Caenorhabditis elegans: one gene and its partner. The protein of the gene in region 2 purifies or fractionates together with the protein of the main gene of each other region. This does not show direct contact. Each region holds a gene or a part of one and is shown on either strand. Other genes may lie near its edges.

Region 1 (6,768 bases), on a different chromosome or scaffold from region 2:
CATTGATATAATCCTACCACTTTTGGTTAGTGGATGGAAATTACCGTATCCAATAGTTGTATATAAACTTGCAGAATAGTATACACCTCCCCATAAATTCCATTTTGTTTCTCTCATTTGTGGTTCTTCAATCGTCACTCCCATTTTTTGTTCGTACCATTCCAAGGCATGTCTTGATTGTTCAAGTTTAAAATGTTCTCGAGACGAATTCCTGCCACGTGGATTAGTGTTATCATGCTCAATTTCTCGAAGTCTAAAACAACTCAAATTGTGCTTTGCGCGTTGTTGATATCCATCGATCAATCTGTCTTTTGCACAAACCTTTGAAAAAGTTGCTCTTGATAGATCTTTCGTCTCTCGTATACATCTTTCTCATGTTCAAACTTTTTGATAAGTTGTGTCGTTTCATAACCACCTGTAAGAAGATGAACCAGATGTGTGAGAACAATGAATTATGAGAGTTCAGAAGATCAAATAAGAAAATTAGTTTTTTTCTAGAATACTTTTACTAAAAATTTGATGTAAAAAAACTACAAACCTTCGATAGCACTGAAAATGACGCCTCCAAATAAAGAAAAAGAGAATAAAACAACAAGCCATGCAATATGTCTCCACATGGTTTTATTTCGAGCATCTCTACTTGCAATCATTACTTTTGCTTTTTTCTCTTTTTCCTTTGCAGCTAGTACTTCTGGATCTTCCTGTTGTGGAAGTTCTTCCACATCTAAATTCTTATCCTTCTTCTTCTTTTTCTTCTTTTTCTTTGATTCATCTTCAATTACTACTTTTGTATCACTTGTTTTATCACTTTTTGCATTTGCCGCATTCTGGAATATTGAAATTGAGAAAATTGAATTTCTCAGATGGAGTAATTATTTAGACTGCTAAAAACTATTACTATGGAGAGCTGTTGATTTGATGAACGTACACTATGTGTTGCTATCTGAATTGTATTAAGAAGGTGGTTCAATTTGTGCCAATTATGTTCATTATTATATTAAAAGTTTAAAAAAATTTTAAATTTAAATTTAAAACTGAAAAAAAGATTTTTGTTTATGCGCATTTTTCAGCCAAAGGTTTTGGCACTTTGCCAAATGTTTGACTTCTTCAGAAATCTAGAGCTTTCTTGCATAATAAAACCCTACATTCCATATTGAAACAAAATAAATTAAACTATTTTAGTAAATTATAAAATTAAAAAGAATTTATTTTTGGTCAATTTCCAAAACTATTATAAGTGAGTACAAAAACTTATTGAGCTCTAAAGAACTTAAATGCACATCTTACAGTAAGTTTCCTAGATGATGTAAGTACCTTATTAAAACTGGGTAAACTTTTAGACATGTTTCCAAGACCTCGATTCATTCGATCTTTCCATTTACTATCTGCACTTTTGCTCCTTCCAGCAACAATTTTATCATCTTTCTTTGTGGTTCCATTCATATCACCTTCTGAAACAAAAACAATGAGAGGATAAGTAGGTGATAAGTTGATGATAAGGAAGTGGTAATAACATAAAAATCAATGAACTCTAGAGAAACAAAAAACAATTGGATCACAGAGAGATGGAAAAGAATGCTCTTATCATTATCTTTTCTCTATCTTGAGAAGAGTGTGAATTTCCCAAAGAATCCCACAGGAGCAGGAGAGAAAGACACGGGCGAAAAAAAAACAGCAGAAAACGCAAAACGCATGATATTCTCTTTGTGTATTCTTTTACTTCTACCTTTACAACAGCGGTGCTCTCTCAAAGAGAGCACATAGGCGTCACGTCTTGATACACATTTGATGATGAAAAGGAAAAATGACGATGAGAAATGAGGAAGCTTGAGAAGAAAACCGAAGAAGAAAGATTGGGGTTTGTTGAGTTGTGTTCCTTTGGAATGTGGTATGAGAACTTGAGAAATGGGAACATCTGGAATATAAAACTATGAGGAATGTTCGGTGATCTTTCGTATTTTTTGCCATGTCAATGGAACTGAAACCGTCTAACTTGATGATAATGACCAAGATAGTCCCTTCAGTTTTGGAACAAGAGTAACAGACTCAGCAACAATATTTGTTTCAGATTGTCTTGATAAATTGCCAAATCTAAGAACGATACAATTTAGAACAATATCGCATGTTTCAACAAAGAGCTCAGTGATACTACAGTACACCTACATCACCAATTACTCCTACAGTACCAATACAGTACCCCAAAAATATATATGTTTTCTGAGTGTTCTCAGCAGTTTTCTCGTATTTTTACTATATTACAACAATTGTTTTAAATTTTCGCGGATTGTGACCTTAAAATACATTTGATTTCGACAGAAATCCGAGTGACCATGAATTTCTGAAATAAAATAAATGCATTTTAATCGTCTTCTTGTTCAATTGTTTTCCACGGAGGAATGTTCTGAAAATTGCAAATGTTTATTTTTTAAACTTTAAATTCAATTTATATGTCGATAAATTTATTTATCGATTAACAAAACAGAGAAACAAAAGCATTCTAAAAACTAATAAGGCATGAAAATAAAGTTACTACCACTTTTATCTAATTATTCGCTTCCAAGCTCTACACGAACAAAATCGAGAATGTTAGCATTGTGGGATTTTAGGTACTCATGAACAGATTGAGATGGATTCAACATGAAGGCTTGGCGGAGAAGAGCAGTTTCCGATTCATCAATATTAGTTACAACAACTGGATCAGCATTTGGATCATGCCCTTCTTGACTACGAAGCCCTTCTTGAGTTTTCACAGATTCTGCAGCTTCGCCGAGGGATTCCGGGGACATTCCGATAATGTGCTGGCATATCTGTCCGGCAAGTTGCTGACTACTGATTGACCCTGTAAATGTTAAGACTTAATTTTTTACTTTATTTCTTTGTTTCACCTGGACTCGATTGATTTAGAGCGATGAGTGAAATGAACCGTCCCATCGGGATATCATCAGTTCCATCTTTAGGATGTGAAGCTCCAAACAAAGTTGTTCCTTCGGGAGCTTTAAAAGCCTTAACTCTTCTCACTGTCATGTTCTCACCAAGCTTTCCGATTGAAAGGGAGAGCACTTCACGCATATTTTTTCCGTCGGAATCGGTCAGATCCCCAAGATCATAGGTGAATTCTTGAAGTTTTGAGCCGCTCGATATAGATTGTGGCTTAGCTTTTGCGAGAACAGAGTTGGAGATGTTTGACAACAAATCCTTGAAAGCTCCAGATCGCGCCACAAAATCAGTTTCACAACTGAGTTCTACCACAGCTGCTGTTGAGTTGTCCGTGACTACAGATACAAGACCATTCGATGTTACACGAGTTCCAAGTCTGGAATATTCTATAACTATTAAAATAATTCCTTGTGAAGTCAACATTCCAAATTAAAAAAATTTCAAAATAAACACTTACTTTGCCGCTTTGGCCCATCCTTCCTTCGCTGCAGCTTCTTTCAACCATTTTACAGCACTATCCATATCATTTTCGCCAAACTGAATAAGTGCTTTACGACAATTCACATAACTATAACCAGTCTTTTTTCGAAGAGCCATTAGAGCCTGAAAAACAATTATTTTTTATTTTTTAAAATTAATTAGGGTTCCTAGATTTTAATACCTCTTTAGAGACTTTCTTTTCGGCCTCAGCCAAGTTTCGACTAGTCGTTGATAGTAGACGTACAAATGGAGCTCTAGCAAACATTTCTAAAATTGGAAACTTTAGTTTTCAGTCAATATTGATAATTATTTTAAGAGAATAAAGCAAATTATGCAATTTTCTGGGCATTTTTTGCATTAAAAAATGAAAAGGCAAGTGCGCCCCAATGAGAAAGACGGCCGCGCGAAAGAATTCGTTTTGAACATAACAAGGAAAATGTGTTTCTTTTTTTTTAATTGCGAGGTAAATTATATTATTGAATTATTTTATTGATTATTTATAATTATTTTTAGGTGAAAACTTTAATACTATTATTTTTTGCTATTTTTTTGTTGAAATAAATTCTATAATTCCATAGAAATTTTCAGTAAAGAGATCAATGCCGAAGAGCAATCCGGTAACACCTAACAAACAACCATCAGAAGACTGGAATGAGTTACTCACAGAGTTCCGTGGAAAAGGAGGTCGGGCTCTTCAGAAAACATTCATCAGAAAATTGTGGGCAGTTCAAGAAGATATTATTGCCAATGCAAATCCATCGACTCTTCGGTGTATTTTCTTCGCACCAGCCTTGTTGATTTGTCCGGAAGGTATAAAATTATCAGCTGAAATTCTCCCAAAAATTGGTGTTGGAAATGGACTGATACTACTCGAGAAGTTAATACTAAAGTTCAATCTCACCGAGTAAAGTTTATACGCTGAAGAATTCCATTTATATATATTTTTGCAGCACTGAATGTCAAAGGTATGGTGAAGTATTCGTCACAGCTTGGAGAAATGCATATCAGGAGGCTAACTTTGATTTGACAGAGGAATTGGAGACCGATGTGATCAGTGTCATGTGTCAGCATGCATTATATGCTCACAGGCCTACCTGCACTAAATTTCAAAATGTGATTGCCGCATTTGCACACGCGAAAAAACTGGACAAAAGTGTAGATGAAATGGTGACAAGGCTTCTCAATGGATGTCTTTACCGAGCGCTGGACGCTCCAAATTACATTGTACAGTCATCAGCTGCAGAAGTATTTTTCAATTTTTACCCACTAATTGGCGAGGATACTGAAGACATGGATAGGATAATGGAAAACCAACATCGATATATGATGGACTTATTACGTAGTGATGTTATTTCCATTCGAAGCGAAGCCACGAAACATGTCTTGAAGGCAATCAGCGAATTCTGGCTTCTTATTCCAAAAAATATCGTGAAGGAACTCATGGGATACATCATTGATACAGTCGCGAAAGACACTGTTGTCAGCGTCCGCGTCGCCGTTTTTGAAGGTCTTAATGAAATGGCATTTGTTCCGGCATGTCTCACAGCATTCGAATATGGATTGAAATGTGCCGTTGATCCAGCACTACAGGATAAATCTGAACGAGTTCGTCTTGCTGCTTACCAAATAATTTCTCGTCTGAAGAATCATAAATTTATTAGGTAAAATGAACCCAAATCAACAAACTAAAAAATAAATTTTCAGTGTGTTCGATATCATTACTCGAGATGATGCCATTGCGAAACTCGATCTGGAAAACGTAGAGACCTGCCGCCGTCAACTGATTCCAATTATGCATATTTGTCTTCCTATCTCGAAAAGTCTGGATGAAGCATACTATCGTCCTCGTGTCAACTACATGTTAGGAAAAAGTCGATTGGCTCTTTTGAGTTACTTCCGATTGCTTGGCCCAATGAAAATCATTGATGCATCCCAAGCATCCAAACTTATCGAAATGTTTATAACCTGGGCATATCGTTATCTTCGTAAAAAGGATGGCCCTCCATTACCAGAGACTGCCGAAGGATACAAAAAAGCGAGAGCTTATCTTGAGTGTGCTCTCATTCTGTACATGTCATGCAAAGGAGTTAGTTTTCTATTTCTCAAATTTAAAATTGAAGACCTTTTTTAAAACATTATAAACTTCTAAACTTTTTCAGATGCTGATGTCAGATGGCGATGGAACTTCAAAAGCGAAATGTGATCAAATATTTGGAAAAGTTGTCAAGGAAATATTTGAAAAATACGCCAACACTCCTATTCTCGGAACTGCGACAGCAATCAGCAGTGTCATTCCTAAAGATTACCTTAAATCAATTGCTAATGATGTTCTCGCAAGACTGGAAGACGACGATGTTCCTCCAGAAGCAGTTGAGCCGTTTCTTGAATCTGCAATTCATTTCAACCCGGATTCTGTTTTTGATTCATTCGATAGTGGGCTTAATGTTCTTGTAAATTTGTATGGAACGAAACAGAGTAAGAAGAAACGACGTGAATTGGAGGATCCAGAAGATGTACTGATTATGACGTTGAACCGTCTCAAATATTTGCTACAGAGTCACAGTACATCAAATCTTATTGCAATGAAAGATGAATACCGAACTAAAGTCTTGGATTTGTTGAAGGTTTGTGTATTAGTTCATTATTGAAACAATAATATTATATTTAGAAAATTGATCTAATTCGAGAAGGAATTGAAATTAGGCTTGCAAAAGAAGAAGGCCAGGAGCACACTCTCAGTGATGATGTTCTTCTGTCGATACTCGAATTTAGATTCATTTTGCCCTTTTTCGCTGCAACTAATGGATCTGAAGATGCTGCGGATCGTAACCAAACTATCGAGTCAATGAAAAACCTTCTTCTTTGGTTTGAAAAAAATATTTCAAGTCAAATGGCGACTTTTGGTGAACACAATCAAGATTTTCTCATTCAATTAACAAGTACATTCTTGAATTGTGTAAACGTGTCACTATCTGCGTATGATTTCAAAACGAGACCTGTCGAATTTGAAGATGAGGAAGATAACGAGAATCGGGATCCAAGAGAAGAAAATGATGCAGCGAAAGATCAGGCTACGGTAGCAGAAGTTATAAGCAGGTAGGGTCATACGAAAGACTTAATTCTTTAGAAATGAAATATATTTATTAAGAAAGGGATTTAAATATGGAGCAACGCCAGTGGAAAATTGCTAACAACGATTCCCATACAAAAATGGTCGAATATCATAAAAAAATTTTTTTTTAAATAAGATTGTCTTAAATCTTCATTAATATCCTTTTCACTATTTAATAATTATGGAAGCCAAAAAATGGGTTTCTCTTGAACTAAAAATTTTGAAGAACTTAAAAATCT
Region 2 (11,083 bases):
ATTTAAAATGTTTAGTGCAAAACGTTTAAAAAACGGAAAATCTCTCAAATCTCAAATTGCACCAAATTTTGTAAAACTTAGCTAATATTTTCAGTTTTTCTATTTTTGATGTTGCTTTTTTAAAATTATTTGAAACTCTAGAAACTTATTCTGGCAAGTAACTGATTGATTTTTTGCGATGTTGCCAGTTAGAGAGCTCTGGTTATTTTACAGATAACACAACATTTTTAAACTTCAAACTTATAGGAAAATACATTTTTAAAAACATTTTCTTAATTGACAATTTTTAATAAATCAAAAAAACGATGGTTTTTGTATCAAATTTCTCTAGCAACTAACAAGATTTGCTCTATGACGCCATAATTAGCGCACATACAGGAAACCAGATACGGTCAGTAGTGTTGCGCGAGACGCGATGCGGCACTGCCCGTTCTCTATAATTAGAGTCATCTGCTATTTCTTCACTTCGGTACTTTCATACCTAATTACAGGTACCCGACTTATCATCACGATCTCAACGAAGAGTGTCAACGGAAGGCTCGAAGACGTAACCACCCCCGTCGTGGCGAGACCCAAAAGCTACTCTCGTCTAGTTCGGAATGTCTCAAGTACTATCCAGTTGATATGCCAGAGACCCGACCGACTCGTCGAAGGGCCCGCATGGCTTCACCACTCCGAAGTTCCACACCGAACAACTCGGATTCGGCCTACTCGATCTCTCCACCACATACCGATTCAAATGAGGAAGCTGGCAGTATCAGTGATTCGGAGATCAATCACACATATATCAATATCAACAAGTTCCGCCGTCAGAATTTCGATTCCACGCAGTTTGAGGATCTGACAGGTGCCACAGCGACAACTTCAGAGGAGCCCGAGATTTTGGGACGACACATTCGAGGCGTCCTGATCTCCAATTTGTAGATTTCATACTTTTTTATTTGAAATTCTTGGTAAAACTTTTCAACCATTTATTTTTCAAATTATCAAAATGTTTAGCTATAGTTCCACAAACACATCAGAATCCAGTGAAATTTTGTTTTTTTTCTACTTCTATTTTTACCCTTACAAATAGAGTTTGTTAGCGCACTTTTAAGCCCCCACCCATCAAAACGTGTCTTCTTTGTTTTCACCCAATTTCATACTTTTTTTGTTACACTTTCTGCGTCTCTTCTACTCCATGTTGGAGTTGTGTCTATGTCTCTTCTCCCAATTCTATTTCTCTTAAATTTTCCCCATACACCCCAAGTTTTATCCTGTTTTAATGTCATTTTTCTATGAAAAACTGTTTTATTTTTGCCCGGAAAATAAATATGGGACTAATTTACTTTTATTAAATTGCCACGTAGCTTTTGAACGGAATATCCAGAGCGTGCTACTGATACGTAGAAAAAATAGAAAAGTTTTTAGGCTTTTTAATTGGTAATTTTTGCTTTTTCTTCTGGAATTAACTAAGAAATTCCAAAAATTCCAAGAATATTCAAACTCCTTTTTCTGTTTCCCAATTAAACTAGTCACGCGAATGTTTACGCCCGTTGGTGATTTCCTGTTCTCTCAATAGTCCAAATGTCTTCGTTTTCCGGAGCAGGTGGTTTAGGATTTTGAACAGGAGGTTGCAGCCTCATTCACCTACCTACCAAGAAAGGGAGGGATTACACAAGAGAATCATTGGGATCCCCGAGTTTTAATTAGTTTTCGTAATTATTACGCAATTTGTTTTCGCTTTTTAGCACTGTTTTCGGGAGCTTTACGGATCATAAATGGATTATGGGCAAGGAGCAATATCCCGAGTTTTTATGGTAGGATTAGGAGGTCAGGTGAGGGTGAGGTGGTGAATGTAGGGAAATGTTATGATAATTTGGATTAATGTAGTCACAAAAGTACGCAATCATCTCCCAATCATAATATCAAATTGCACAATCTTCGGTACTTTTGAGTGCTGTAGTTTCAAAAAGACACCCTACACAATAGGCCTGTGCATTTTGTCGTGAACTATGGTGCATTGAAATATATATATATATATACTATATAGTGCGTTTTTTTCAAAGATACCGTAGTCATATCAAAAATTGCTAATACAACAAACTACTGTTCAGCTTTTTAGATAATTTCTAGCAATTTTCCCTAAAAGTACTGTAACCCCGAAATCGCTTTTTTTTTAATGGAGACTTTACTTTAAAAAATTTTGGGTACTGTAGGTACAAAAACCCAGGCTTACCAATCTTTTTAAAATTGTGCTTTTTTCTTAAACTGTAAACAGTATTGTGAAATTTATAATTTTAGGGTTAAAATTTACCGGAATTTTTCGTTTTTTCAATTGGACCATTATTGCAATTTTTCACAATATCTAGTTTGTGAAATGTCTGTTTTCGAATATTTGTTGTGCCTGGTGACTAATTTGTCCAAGTATATTTCCCAATGTCAGGTGTAAAAATGATTTCATATCTGTTTGGTTTTCACCATGTTTTCTCTAAACAATCTCTCTTTCTCTATTGTTCATAATTTCAACTTTGTTTCGGTCTGTACGTACACAACCAGCGACATATTGAAACATATGTGCGCTCGCGATTTCTTTTTGTATTGCAATTCTTCTATAAGCCTCTTACTTCAAGAGAGAATATCTCGGTTGTTTTTAGTTGTATCAAAACGTTTTCAACTAACAAACTATTTTTTACTTCTTTTTCTATCGTTCTGTAATTTAATCGTAATAGATCTCTTTAAAATGAACTGAGATATTGGCAACCAAAGTGGAGCCATTTCTTGAAATTTGTTATGATTTTCAAGAAAATTGGACGCCTACACAAATAAATTGTTGTTTGCTCTATTTCTTATCAACAGCTCAAATCACAATGAACTCAATAGACATTGCACTGAAAATTGCAAAAATTCATTGCTTTTCCTGAATTTCGTCGGAGCACTTTTCTACTGTTTCATATCTTCATCTTAATAGTTGTACAGCCTCCATTTTGCTCAGTTCCAATCGTTTACCCAAAAATTCAAATAATACATTTTCCTAATGATAACTTCCACACCTTCTGGACACCTCTCGCATTAATTACATGTTATGCTCTATTTTTCTTCTGCTACGTGTGCTCGATATAACTAGAATTTTGGGAACATGTGTGCTCGGGTCGCTTTCACACACTCTTACCGACTGGCAGGATATCTTAGACACCCTCTTTAAAAGATACACCCAATGTAGGTGTGTATTATGGATGAATGAGGGTTATTGGATAGTCTAAATAATACAAAAGTGGGTTGATTTGTAATGGTAGTTTTTAAAATAATTTTTTTAAAGAAATTTGCCAGGAGGGCCAATGAAGATTCGAGTGGGAGCCATCTCCTAGAACTTGGGTTATGTTCTGAAATTAGATTTTTTTAAATATAACTTTCAACTCGTTCAGGACTATTTATCGTGTCAATATATACCTTTTTATTTATGATTTATCTAATCTTTTTGTGTGAACCGGCCCACTTCGCCTGCCATGAAGAATTGGAATCGATTTTTTAAGGCTCTAGTTGAACATAGTAGTTTTTTTTCCTTTTGGATTTTTTTTGGCAAGATTTTTTTTTGATTTGATAACTCATAACATAGTTGACATTAACGTTATAAAAAGTTGGGAATTTTCAAAAAGTTAGGTTTTTGAAATAGTTGCATTATCATAACTTCAAATAATCTTTTATCAGTCTTTATGAATTTTTCTAAACCACATTAGTTTCCAGATATGAGTGTGCTATCAAATGACGGGCTCCCAGAAAAATATCAATGGTTTTCGGATCAAATTGCTGGGCATCATCCGTCGGTTATCAAAAATGGGAAAAGAGAAATTGGTAAGTTTTTAATTTTTTTGAAGTATTTACTTTGAAAAATTCAATTTCTAATCACTTTCTGCTCTAAGTAGTTAAAGTAAGCTCCAGATAATTCAAATTCAAAAATTCTCCGAAAAATCCAAACATTTGAAAAAGAGCCCTAGGTGTGGTGGCTCATCTACAGCTGAACAAACAAAGGGAGTGCTGGAAAAACAAAAGGATATAGACAACAAGTCGTTTTGTGGCTAAGAGAGAGATTAATCGCACATTATTATGCAAATCGGAGCAAATAGGGTTCCAATAGAGGGCGGATGTGTTTGGAGGCTTTGAACTGTGGATAGGGGTTATGTTTAGAGTTTACTTGTATTTGAACTTTGAATTTTTTTCACAAACTTCTAGGGCAGAAAAAAATGCTACAAATTTTTTTTTGAAGACTTTCAAAGATTTTTAAGCAGTGTCAAGGTAGGCAAATTCTGGAAGTTGTTAACTATTTTGTTCAAATTTTTGACCTAACTTGATCAAAAAAAAATGACCCCGCGAATTCAAAATTTTTAGCTCTCTGAATCCGGGAAAACGTGATTTAGGAGAAATCTAAATTTCATACTACATTAAAATAGAAACCCATTGAGAATTTTTGGAAAATTTCGGTAGAAATGAACAGATCAAAGATGAAAATTTTCAATTACATATGCACATGGCAATTACCATTTTTCAGAAAAAAAAGATTTAACAAAAAAAAGTTTCAGGTCTTCTAAAAATCCCCGGGTCCCGAGAAATCCTCAAACCAAAACAAGATGCGTCAAGAGGAGAGAAAGAGGTTGGTTTGACTGTTTCCAGTTAAATTTGATTTTTTTTGTAATCATTCTGAAATCTACTAAACTACAGTACCTATAAAGGTATCATCTAACTATATATTACATGTACATGTCTCTCTCACATCCATATGACAATACTGATGACGTCACCCAATCTCATCATCAGTTGACACGGAAACGTGGCATGACGCAAGCTTCTGTCCAGACGTTTGGTGGGGGAAGTTGTTGCGATGGAAAAGGACACCTGTGACCATGAAAATTATGACATATGGAGAGAAAAATAGAGGACACATAAATAACGGGCTTGGTGGGAAAATGGGAATGGGTTTCAGATAACATTGGAATTTTTCCCAAGGGTTTGGACGGGGGTGGCGCAATAATACTAATTGGTACTAATTTACACCATTTTTTGGTATTTTTTAATAAGCATAGTTTACAAGGGGTCAAATTTCTTGTACGTTAGGGAAAGGTATGAATGGGCAAGCTCAACTGTTTAGAAGTTGTAAAAATGAATTGCACTGGTACATTCAATAATCCTTAGTTGTAAGGCATTTGATTTTGGCAGTATCAAATTCGTTTTTTGAATAGTTCTAATTGCTTTATAGATCTGGTGTAACATAATTCATTGAAAATTCAAGTTATAATTTTAGTCCGGAGATCTATTGTATTAATTTTACATTGAAATGCAGGCATGCCTAACAAGAAAAGTTGGTACTCATCATAGCATCAACAGCAAAAAAGTCACCCTTCTGCCTCCCACAGTATATAGTTTCAAGTGTACCTTCTCCCATAGTAACTCCTTCCGGAAGTCGAGTAGATAATGATACTTGGGAATTTGGTAAACTACAGTAACTAAATATGTGAGAAGAGTACTCAGATGATTGATTAGTTACGTAATAGTAGCATTGGGGGAGGGGTGATGATCCGGGTGAACATGTAATGGAAGACAAGGGACTTTTGTGATTCACCCTTAGAATGTTTAACTTATCAAAGATATAGGAAAACTTCTAAATTTTTCCCTGACCCTGAGTTCTCATGTTAAAAATCACAAAAAATTCACGGATTTTAAATTTTATTTCGGATGAAAACCAAAAACTTCAGTTTTGAAACTACTGTAAATTTCAAATTACAATTTTTGCCGCCGGAGACCGGATTTTTCCACAGATGTTAACTTACGCTAAAAGTATATCAAAAGGTCAAAAATGACTCTCAACAGTTGCAGTTTGTAGTGGGAGATTTTTAGGAAAAATGCAAAATTCTCCACCCAAAACTCAGGAAAGATTCATATCTGACACATGTCCATTACACCGAATTACTCAACTTTTCTCCGCTCAAATCATCCGGAAACTAAACCTTGAAACCAGATAGATAACCATCTTAACTTGCTTACGCAAGAATATCTAAATATGCTTCCAGGTTGCCTTATACGAACTCCTACGCTCGTGTACCACTTCACCGTCTACTCCACCAGAATCTACTACTTCAGATGAGTTACGTAAACGGTTAGTTGATTGACATCATGTCAAACATCGCATTGGATTTGAACCGGATATTGCAGGGTACGAATGGAAGATATCGAGATGCTCTGCAAGTTGACTGCCGACTTTTATGGAATACAGACCATTTTTGTCGATGGGCAAGGTGAGGGACTTTTTGTAGGCAAATTGGTTTATAGTTTGTAGTTTGTAGTCAAGAGTATGAAGCTTGTAGTTGCACTGGTCTTTGTTTTTTTTGGACATATTTTATTCACCCCATAAAATTTGATGATCTCCATCTCTAAAAATTATTCAAATTGCGTCCACGGCGCCATCCTGCCATATGACAGATGTTTTTTTTTTTCATCAATTCTTCAAGCGGTATAGGTTCAGAGGTGTCACACGCGTGTCCTCATCATCATTTTACCCCCTACCAATTTCCCTTTCATTCTGATAAAATGGGTAAAACGATGAGACCAATTTGAATGCGATCCATTTGAATAAGATGCGCGTGCTGCGAACAAAAAAAAACATAGAAGGTTTGAAGATGGGGGAACAAATTTACATTTTTATGACGTGCCAAATTGCATGGGGAAATTGACTATTTTGAACTGAAAGCGGGCAGTTACTGGGTGGATTTAGATTTGGAAAAATTGCGGGATTTTGAAATTATTCTGCTTTTAGGGAGCTCTTAAACAGCATGAAAAGTATTCCTAAATTTGAAATTACGAGATTAAGTTACTAAAGTTACACAGTTTTGAGCACATTTACATACTTGGTATCAAAAAGTTTCAGCCTAAAAGTCACTATTTTCCAGACCGCGAGTTCCTGGCAATGGAAGATGTGACAATTGGCTATCAGAGACCGGCGATACTGGATCTAAAAATGGGACAAGTGACCTATGATCCAATTGCAAAACCAGAGAAAATTGAAAAAGAACGAATCAAGTATCCGCCACAGGCCAAGATGGGAATGCGGATTCTTGGATATAGGGTGGGTTATTTTCTGATATGTTTTGAGGTGTACTGTAAGATTTTTGCAATGACCGTTGCGTATGTTATTCCAATATTATGTATCTGTAAAGTTACTGTAATATTATTGTACCTCACTCTTGAAGGAAGCCTTGTAAATAGTACAGTAGAGTACTGTAGAAATACTCCAACTGCGAATCTCCTAGTGAAGGTTACTGTAAGGATTTGAAAACTGTAGTCTTTCAGATGATACAGTACAGATCACTTCAATTTTTTCTGTATCTTCTCGTGCAAATAATGAAAGATCGTTGTGCCTGTCAGGAGGTCAGGGAATACTGTATTAATACTTTAGTATTGCCTTTATCAACAAATTTCGGTAGTATGAATATTTTTTCCGTTTTCAAATGATAGCCGCCAGCCGGTGACTACAGTACTCATGGTAATCCGTGTCTAATCATTAAAAATTCAAAATCTCTTTGTCTTCCCAAATCTACCCGGAACACACTGCTGTCATCATGCTCAAGCACTGGGGGTTAATCGTCTATTCTTGACTCCCGCATACCGCCAGTTTTTGAACGGGTCTTTTCCCTGTGTCTCTCGTTATACACGCTATTTTCCGGCGGAATCTAAGTGTTGCAATTTGCGAAAAGAATGCCGAATGCTCACAGATGGGTGCAATTATACGATCAATTGTGTCATTGACACTCTCGAAAAGGTACAAGTTCCGATGAATGTTGCCGGATGGCTGACAGCTGGGAAGGAATTGGTTTTTTGAATGAAAAATGAATTGATTTTGTAAAGCGGAAGTTTGCGGGGAGTTAAAATTAATTTTTTGCAATAAATTTATTTAAACTATGAATTTCAGACAAATTGATTTTGAGTTTATTAGTTTAGGTTGACTGAAAGTTCAAGTTGATATATCTATGTTGTTTTTACAGTTAATTGTAAAAATGTTTAGCTTTTTGTTTTCTATACTTTTGTAATTTACAACATTTTTTTTAGCATTCAAACTAGCCGAGATAATAAGTTTTAAACTAGGTCCATGGTAGGCAGGCACGACTTCAACCCTATGAACATTTTTATGTGAAACGTTTTGATTTTTACACTGAAAGTCAGGCATGCCTATTAAGAAAAGTTGGTGCTCATCATAGTATAACAGCAAAAAAGTATCCCTTCTGCCTCTCACAGTATATTGTTTCAAGTGCACCTTCTCCCATATTAACTTCCCCCGGAAGTCGAGTAGATAATGATACTTGGGAATTTGGTAAACTACAGTAACCAAATATGTGGGAAGAGTACTCAGATGATTGATTAGTTACGTAATAGTAGCATTGGGAGAATGATCAGGTGAATGGAGGTTAGGAATTCTTGTGATCATGGCCAGAAAATTCTAAGCTGTCCTAGCCAGAATTTAAGATAAAAAATTCCAAAACTTTGTAAAATTTTTTAAACTACAAACTACAGTGTTTTCAAGCTGAGCTAAACATATTCTGTTACAGTCAGCAGCTCGGAAATTATATTTTATTCAGCTTTTCTGTGCATCCTAGTTATTATTCGAACACATCTCATAACTCTTGACCTTCATGCGTTGGCAAAAGAGAAAGGGATCATCATCTATTAAGTGCTTGTATAACTTGTTAATCTGGTGCACAAGTGTTCCGTGCACTCTTCCTTTGATACCGTAGTTTACAGCCACGTGGCAAGTTCTCCGATTACCTAATCAGAGAGACCGCGCGAGAAAGGAAGAGAGAGGCGGCACAATAAATGGGCCTATCGTATTACATTAGGGTCACACCTGTTCGACATGGATAGGGAAGAATGAAGAAAATGGAAGAATGTTTGAAATTCTTCTAGGATTTGAGGAATTGGAGGTGGAGGGACTTAATATGTACAGATTTTGGAGTTGGGGATTATTTTCACAATAGTTTTGAACCGAGCCAGACGAGTGCTCAACTTTTAGATACCGCCACAAAAGCTCGGATTACGGTAGCAAGAATTTTTTGGCGCGAGACTCAACTTTTGCAAAGTTTGTTTTAACAAAAAAAAACATCTACATTCATCTTAACTTCAACAGATTTCAGTTCATGTTTAAAAAAGTTGGGTCATACCACAATACACTCAAGATTACTGTGACTAGCTTTTGGTGGCAAGACCTAATTTTTTTTCAAATTCCAGAAGAAAATGATTATACTAAAATTCAAAACAATTTCAGATCCATCGCTCCGACAATCAAGTGGAGGTGCGAGACAAAGACTGGGGGAAGTCTTTCGACGAAACCACTGTTGAAACCGGGCTCCGCGAATTTTTCTCGGCAAGATCTGAAGCTGACCTGAATCAAGTTCTTCTGGAGGCCCTGGACAAGCTGAAAATTATCAAAAACTTTTTTGAAACCCAAAGATCACTTCAATTCTTTGCTTCCTCACTTTTATTCGTGTTTGAGGCTGATAAGGAGTTGCCGATTAATATGAGAATCGTTATGATTGGTAGGTATCAATGCGATAGATTTCAAAAAAATAGTTTTTTTCCAGATTTTTCTCATGCATTTGCATCGAGTGGGGAGCCAGACAATGGATATTCATTAGGAATTCAAAATCTTGAAAAGTTTTTGAATAATATTATTTCTTCATAGTCATCACTGATCGAGTATTCAGCAAAAATGTGTTCGTAAATTTACACCATCTCAAGCTCATATCTCCGTTGGTTTTGGTGATTTGCAAAAATTCTCAAGTAACACAACTCTTGTTGCATATTTTTATATACTTTTGTAGTTGAATGCTCACTGATATTTCTAAAATAACCTGAATATTCGGTGCTACAGAAAAATACTATTTATATGAGACTCTCTGATCCAAAAAAATTTTAGCTGCAATTTTTTTCGAATTTTTAATTTTTACGTGTCATCCACCCACATCGCTTCCCTCCAAAAAAATCCCGTTTTCTTGCTTTCCTGTTTTGTTTTTTTACGGCTAACTTTAAATATTTGTACTGCTTCAAAGTGCTTTTAAAGTTGACAAAATAATATCTTCCATACTGTAGAACTTGGATGTGTTCCATATTAAAGAATATTAAGAATTCGACAAAAAAAAACTTTGATCATTCAATATTCCACCGTTTCTAGATGCGTTCAAAGGTTTTAAATTTCAAGATTTCAACAAATCTAGTTCCGTCAATATGCAATATGCAAGTAACAACGAAAATTTTAGTATTTACTACAAAAAAGTATTCAAATCGGTGTAAATTTTCAGCAGTTTGCTAAATTTGCTAAAAAATAAAGTTGCAAAATTGAACGAAACAAAGCTTCGAAGAAATTTAATATTTCAAAATTCTACTGTTTCAAATATTATTCAAAGCCTACCAATAATAATTGAAGTTTAATCACATTGAAAATTAGGAACGGTCAAAAACAATTAATTTCAAGAGATAAAAAATTTGGAGCTTTTACTGTTTCAAATTGCATTTAAAGTATACTAAATTGAACTATAAAAAGTCTGTTTCACTTCCAAAGTTATGAAAACTGTAGTAGTAGAACAAAGGAAAATGTTTAAACTCCAACAAAAAACTTTGAAATTTTACCGTTTCAATATGTACTTAAAACCAACAAATATTGACTCAACTCATTACAGTAACACCGGTCGAAAAAAATGTTTTCTATAAATTTTTACTGTAATTTGGTTTCAATTATTCGTATTAAAACATTGTAGGTACCGGAACATGCGACACTTCTTTGGATTTCCTCGAAAGCTCATATTTTTGAAAATTTTGGCAATTCTCCAAAACTTTGATCGGAAATTATGGGAAATCTAAAATTTTTTGGAAATTTTTTGGAGTGTTTATTATGATAATCGGTCTGTTTTGGTACGTTGTCTCAAAACTTCCAACGATTTTCGTGTAATCTTTTCTTGATGAATATATTTTATTTCGAAAAAATAAATTATTAAATTAAAAGTTTCCGTTATTCCTCGTACTTTTGGCCAATTTTTTTGATATTCTGAAGATAGATCAGTAAAATTTT

Evidence for each region. Proteins that work in one complex are often made in the same cells at the same time.
Region 1: the proteins of ipmk-1 (region 2) and tsfm-1 fractionate together in Caenorhabditis elegans (co-fractionation; one large-scale study listed by BioGRID). This does not show direct contact.

What each region holds. Positions count from the first base shown.
Region 1 is NC_003283.11:12,267,868-12,274,635, forward strand, and holds tsfm-1 (Elongation factor Ts, mitochondrial), read right to left. Parts: upstream 3,685-6,768; 5' UTR 3,683-3,684; coding exon 3,599-3,682; intron 3,541-3,598; coding exon 3,395-3,540; intron 3,314-3,394; coding exon 2,886-3,313; intron 2,840-2,885; coding exon 2,547-2,839; 3' UTR 2,404-2,546; downstream 1-2,403. Other genes in the region: twk-24 (Potassium channel domain-containing protein), read right to left, coding at 1-253, 322-415, 539-827, 1,315-1,443; capg-2 (CAP-G condensin subunit), read left to right, coding at 4,017-4,321, 4,368-5,078, 5,122-5,503, 5,577-6,041, 6,086-6,513. UniProt on the Caenorhabditis elegans protein: Associates with the EF-Tu.GDP complex and induces the exchange of GDP to GTP. It remains bound to the aminoacyl-tRNA.EF-Tu.GTP complex up to the GTP hydrolysis stage on the ribosome.
Region 2 is NC_003282.8:12,544,407-12,555,489, forward strand, and holds ipmk-1 (Kinase), read left to right. Parts: upstream 1-3,717; 5' UTR 3,718-3,725; coding exon 3,726-3,831; intron 3,832-4,556; coding exon 4,557-4,627; intron 4,628-6,041; coding exon 6,042-6,127; intron 6,128-6,183; coding exon 6,184-6,266; intron 6,267-6,917; coding exon 6,918-7,093; intron 7,094-7,624; exon of another isoform or gene 7,625-7,799; intron 7,800-9,283; coding exon 9,284-9,554; intron 9,555-9,599; coding exon 9,600-9,700; 3' UTR 9,701-10,275; downstream 10,276-11,083. Other genes in the region: Stork-head box protein ham-1, read left to right, coding at 492-924.